Neurospora crassa OR74A: one gene and its partner. The protein of the gene in region 1 interacts with the protein of each later gene in a biochemical or structural test. Links are inferred from orthologs where the notes say so. Each region holds a gene or a part of one and is shown in the gene's direction. Other genes may lie near its edges.

Region 1 (2,043 bases):
CGTCACGAGGAGCAGATGACCAAGTTCGGTGCCGCGCTTGCCCTCGGTATCATTGATGCCGGTGGCCGCAACTGCACCATTGGTCTTCAGACCCAGACGGGCAACCTCAACATGGCGGGCATTGTTGGCATGGCAGTGTTTACCCAGTACTGGTACTGGTTCCCCTTTACCCACTTTTTGTCTCTTAGCTTTGTGCCCACGTCCATCATTGGTCTCGACAGTGATCTGGCCATCCCCAACGTCAAGTTCCACTGCGCTACCCGTCCCAGCTTGTTCGACTACCCACCGGAGCAGGAGGTCAAGGTGGAGGAGGGACCCGCCTTGGTCACGACTGCGGTTCTGTCTACCACGGCGCAGGCCAAGCGCCGCGCCCAAAAGAAGGAGAAGGCGCAGCGTCGTGAGAGCATGGACATTGACACGCCGGCTGTTTCCAAGACAGCTTCCCAGCCTGCTGCCGAGGACAAGATGGATATCGACGACGATAAGAAGGCCGCCGCCAAGCCTGAAGAGTCCAAGGAGAAGAAGGAGGGTGAGTCTGGCGAGAAGGAGGCAACTGGCGCCACCGACGCCAAGAAGAAGGCGGAGAAGGAGAAGGTTGGCTACGAGATTGAGAACATGTCTCGTATTCTGCCTGGCCAGCTCAAGTACATAAGCTTCCCGGCTGGGCGTTATAAGCCAGTCAAGAAGGTGAGCTGCCCTGCATCACTTAATCTACCTAACTCATATCTTGTGTACTAACTAACTTTGCCTCCAGCCTACCGGTGGTCCCCTCCTCCTTTTCGATACCCAACCTTCGGAGGCCAAGTCCCTTGTAGAGGAAAAGCTCAACAAGGTAACCACGGAGCGCGCCCCCGTTGCCGGCGCCGGTGCTTCGGGTGCCAGCGATGGAACCCCCCGTCTCTCTGGCGGGGCGGCGCAATCGCTCCTTAGCCAGCTCCAAGGAACGGGCGCTTTCAACCGGTCCAGCATGCGGGAACTCAGCGAGCTGCTGCAGCTTGGCCAGCGTATGGAGCAGGATGCTTCTGCAGGACTCGGGGAGAGCAGAGCTCGCGGTGCTGGGGGTGCTGCGGCGGGAAGTGGAACTGGAGCTAGTGCTACGGCTGGCAGCGGTGCTGGTGCGGCTGCTGCTGCTGCGGTGTTGAATGCTGTCGATGAAGATGCCGAGGGTGATGAGGAGGCGCCGACGCCGGCGGAGTTTGAGTACTTTACTGATGCGGAGGCGGATGACGAAGAATAGAGGTCTAAGCGGAAGCCAAAGAAGTAGGAAATAGATGGTGGTGAAATGAAGGGTGAAGAGAATGAATAGACGGGCATTGAAATCTTGTCAGGGTGTTATGTGTCTGTGGCTGGTGCCATGGTGGTGAATGAAAGCGATGGAAAATGAGATGAACGGTCATGGTTTGATTGAAGGCCCAGGTGGTCTTTACACTAAGTTAAGCATATACAGTAGGAAGTATCTTGCATCAAGACCCATTATCAGCGATACTAGAAATCAGCGATCACACTACTCGGATTGTACATATTACTTGAGAACTGATCCATCCAGCAACATGTCGCGGTGTGAGATCCGTGTTTGGAAACAGTTGTCCAAACAGGAATCACACAAGTTACTATACTAACATATTTCGGAGCTATGCTGTGGTCCGTCGTTAAGAGTCTAATACCCGCCCTTGAATCACATGCAAGAGCCCTACAGCGGATTCCCCGGGGAGGGCGCGACGTCATCGACCAGTCCAGGTCCCTGTGGAACAACTTGGATTTCTTGGCAGCAATGACGACGTCGTTCAATCGTTTGTTTCCATGTGTTTTGTCTCTGGTCTTTTCTTTGAAGTTGATAGTCTGGTCTGGTCTGGTACCTCCTTCGTTACACATCTGAAACTGATAGAAGTTAGTATCTGGAATTCACTCCACTTTACATAGCAGTCTAGTCCTCCCCCCGATTTTTTCTTCATCCTTTCCTTTCATCCAGGCATTGCTTTCATCCTACACCACACTAGAATATTCAGTCCTGGTCTTTGTATCTACCCTCCAGTTAGTCGACAG
Region 2 (4,182 bases), about 2.9 Mb from region 1:
AGAAGGCCGAATGATGCGGCGGTTGCGTATCGCTGAATGAAGAGATCAAGGTGAAATGAGGATGGTTTTCAGCATAACAAAGAAGGGAAAGCAGGAGGTAACGGCAGATCGGAGGAAGCGGAGGTGTACAGTAACTAATAAGGCGATCCGAAAGTGGTGACTCTTGAGTTAGGACGGGGATGGGGTTGTTGGGCGTTTCCTGGTCCGTCCCCCCGGCTCCCACGAATTCACCATTCATGGACGCACGGGATTACACCGGATGCTTGAAGGGGTCTCTTCCTTGCCTGCGTAGGGGACCCGAGGATTGACGGGTGGATGGAGTTCAGTTCAGTTGCATGTCTATGTAAGTCTGCACTTTCCTGCGCTTACAGTAAGTATACCGCTCTGCAATTCATGTTGTACTTTTACATAAAGTTCCTGAATCGTCCTTTGTCGTTATCGTAACTTCACACCGAGACACGCCGGATGACGGGAGCCCAGGCTGATCTGCTTCAGGGCTTAAGATGTTCAACCCCAGTTCCTCAGACAGTCACCGGCTACGCACGCTCTACTGTACTGTATAGAGAAAAATAGTGTATCGAGTCAAGCCAGCAATTTAACCTTTGGACTGCCGCAATTCAAACCCCAACTACGCAACCCTCTCCCTTCTCATTCATCATACGCCTCGCGATCCCTCATCAGCACCGCTTCATGGCCATGATGCGTTCAGACGGGCCCGAGCCAGGCAAGGATGTGTTAGCTAACACACGGGATGCAGGGTGGTGTATGGTGACCACAATAGCATATCATCGCCGCATCATTCGATCCAAACAGTGGAGAAACTGGTATCGGCCGTCTTCGGAATGACAACTCGATCCCTTATCGCGGTAGTGTACGTTGAGCCACAGAGAAGTGATGTTACGACGATGGGATCTGCCATATCTCTCAACCTTAATTACACCACGTCGGGTATTGCGATAGCATGCAAGACATATCAAACAAATAAGAGACGATTGTCAATAGTGTAGAGGTCAAGCCAGAGACAAGTTACGGGGGGAGGACGGCGGACGACAAGCCGACCTGGCCGTCAAGGTGACACTTCGTGACGCCTAGCAAGGGTACCCGTGTGGATGTGGGGTTGAGAAAGGCTGGAGTCGCTCAACTGCGATGGTGGCACCCAACTTGAAGTGGAGGTCGACCTGCATGGAGGGGGGAGCCACCGACAAGGCTCCCGCCGCTTCAGTTCAGTTCAGTCCAATCTGCACTGTCCGGCAGTCACCCCTTGACACTGTCCAACAGCCCCACTTGCAGCTGGAGCGTCTCTGGTGAAGTGCGACTTTTGGCTACAAAAAATGGAGCATCTGTCATCGATAAGTGTGGCACTTATACAAGCTATATTGTACAAAGCAGGCACCGTAGCTGTGCTTGGTAGTCCACTATAACTGCCAGAACGTGGTCATCCAGCCAATCACTGTGCTTATGGCAGCACCCGGCAACGCAGGCTCCAGATGAATGACGAGCCACAGCTAGCCCAGCTTGCTGTTACTAGCAACAGCGACCACTGCATCAGCGACTGCTAGCACCGACAACCTACTACTGACACGCGCCACAAGGCGAACCTCGACGACGACAACAGAACAACAAGAAATACCACCCGACCGATCCCCCAGACCCACGTCAATTACAATCGCGCATCTGAGCGCTCGCGATACAACACACGGAAACATATCGATCAAGCCATTTAATACCATCACAAGAAAACATCCGCCAAGATGGGCGACGTCCTTGTCGAGACCCCGGCCAGTGTGACCCAGCCTCAAAAGAAGTCCGCCCCTTCGGCGATCCCCAACATCGAGACCTTCGAGGGCGTGTCAACAGAGGGCGGCGATGACTACATTACCTTGAAGAAGCTTCAGAGGCAGCTAGAATACATCAAGCTGCAGGAGGAATACATCAAGGATGAGCAGAGGTATGGTCACAGAAGCTCCACGCGCTGAGAGCTTGATGAGGAGGGGCTGACAACATGGTATCTGGCAGGAGCTTGAAGCGTGAGCTTGTACGTGCCCAGGAGGAAATCAAGAGGATTCAAAGTGTCCCCTTGGTGATTGGACAGTTCATGGAAGCTATCGATCAAAAGTATGGCCGCCCAATGCAACCCCCCGTCTTCAAAACTGGCCCAGACTAACCCTTCCTCTCAGCACGGGTATCGTTCAATCCAGTACTGGCTCAAACTACGTCGTCCGTATCCTTTCGACTCTCGATCGCGAGCTCCTCAAGCCCTCATCCTCCGTAGCGCTCCACCGTCACTCTAATGCCGTCGTCGATATTTTGCCGCCCGAGGCTGACTCCTCGATTGCTATGCTCGGTGCCGACGAGAAGCCCGACGTTACATATGCCGATGTTGGAGGGTTGGATATGCAGAAGCAGGAAATTCGGGAAGCCGTTGAGCTGCCCCTAACACACTTTGATCTTTACAAGCAGATCGGCATTGACCCCCCGCGCGGTGTCCTTCTCTACGGTCCTCCCGGTACCGGCAAGACAATGTTGGTCAAGGCGGTCGCAAACTCGACGACAGCGAACTTTATCCGCGTCGTCGGTTCCGAGTTCGTACAAAAGTATCTCGGTGAGGGTCCTCGCATGGTGCGCGACGTCTTCCGCATGGCTCGTGAGAACGCGCCCGCCATCATCTTCATCGACGAAATTGATGCCATTGCGACCAAGCGTTTCGACGCGCAGACGGGTGCCGATCGTGAGGTGCAAAGAATTCTGCTCGAATTGCTCAACCAGATGGACGGTTTCGACCAGACCGCCAACGTCAAGGTGATCATGGCCACCAACCGTGCCGACACCCTCGATCCCGCCCTGCTGCGTCCCGGTCGTCTTGATCGCAAGATCGAGTTTCCCAACCTGCGCGATCGCCGCGAGCGCCGTCTCATCTTCACCACGATTGCTGGCAAGATGAGCTTGGCCCCTGAGGTCGACCTTGACAGCTTGATTGTCCGCAACGATCCTCTCAGCGGTGCCGTCATCGCTGCCATTATGCAGGAGGCCGGTCTGCGCGCAGTACGGAAGAACAGGTACAACATCATCCAGGCTGATTTGGAGGACGCCTACAGCAGCCAAGTGAAGGGTACGAGCGACGAGAACAAGTTTGATTTCTACAAGTAAACCATCGGCGTCATGGGCTAGCTGTGTTGGGGTCGAGGACCACGGAACATGTGGGAGATTGCATTTTGGGTGGGTTGGTGCTATGCTTCTTGCTGCCTTGGGAAAATATAGTTTGTGCCCCAGATCAGCAGGGACTATAGACTTTCATAGAAGCGAACCAATTTGTACACTAGCGAATAAATCTAGAGCGGTACCAACATATATATATATGTGCGTACCTCTCTGGAGTTGCTCCAACTGAAAAAGTAGTAACACCCAAACGAAAAGAAGCAAGATGCCCTGGCTCCCAGCTGATACTATTTACATGTTCAGATCAACTTGCTCGGCGAAATTGAGTTCTCAGTGCGCTTTCTTTCTCTCCAGGTCATGGTATGCCACCATTTATCTTGATACATATGTAGATACATCTACGGCTGTATGGTGGTTCTCCGTTCCCGAAACGCCGTAGCTATAGCAAATCCCATTTAAATGAAGGGAGGATATGTCGGAAAAATGTAATGTGCTTCAATATAGATTCTTGTCTACTGAAAAATGATAAGGTCGGCTTGGAGAACATTTCTTGTCAGGGGGGAGGGAGGGGAAGAGATGATAAGAAAGGGTAAGACACCGTATCTACAGCATGTCCTCCCTTATGGATGGCAAGAGAGGCCAGGGTCGGGTCGTACTTGGGTATTCCAGCGAGTAAAATCCGATAATACTATCCTACATACATATTGATAACAGGACCTTGAGTGGTTACCTCAAAATTTTAAGTACCACTCAGGGCGTCTACACTATGGTAGTTCCTAGATATCGTTGCCGTCACTTGACATTCATTAAAAAAAAAGTGAAGGAAAAAAAAAGGACTTATTGTTTAAACTTCAAAATAACCTCGATGCTATTTGAGGGGTAAAGGGTGTATATCCTCCATGTGACTATTTGTAACTACTACTTGTAACTACCTACTTGGGATTGTACCTAAGGTAGGTATCGTTGTAGTCAGTCTAACACACTCACTCAGTCCCCTCTCCCGCCGCTCACTAGTGTACGTCTCCT

What was found. The genes of interacting proteins can lie anywhere in the genome.
Region 2: the proteins of rpn-2 (region 1) and rpt-3 are reported together in a solved structure, tested with the Saccharomyces cerevisiae proteins (2 studies listed by BioGRID, with this or other methods). The link is inferred for Neurospora crassa OR74A from reciprocal best matches to the Saccharomyces cerevisiae genes RPN2 and RPT3.

What each region holds. Positions count from the first base shown.
Region 1 is NC_026507.1:236,614-238,656, forward strand, and holds the end of rpn-2 (26S proteasome regulatory subunit rpn2), read left to right. Parts: coding exon 1-687; intron 688-754; coding exon 755-1,237; 3' UTR 1,238-1,519; downstream 1,520-2,043. UniProt on the Saccharomyces cerevisiae protein: Acts as a regulatory subunit of the 26S proteasome which is involved in the ATP-dependent degradation of ubiquitinated proteins.
Region 2 is NC_026507.1:3,145,806-3,149,987, forward strand, and holds rpt-3 (26S protease regulatory subunit 6B), read left to right. Parts: upstream 1-1,367; 5' UTR 1,368-1,751; coding exon 1,752-1,948; intron 1,949-2,016; coding exon 2,017-2,115; intron 2,116-2,177; coding exon 2,178-3,147; 3' UTR 3,148-3,840; downstream 3,841-4,182. UniProt on the Saccharomyces cerevisiae protein: The 26S proteasome is involved in the ATP-dependent degradation of ubiquitinated proteins. The regulatory (or ATPase) complex confers ATP dependency and substrate specificity to the 26S complex.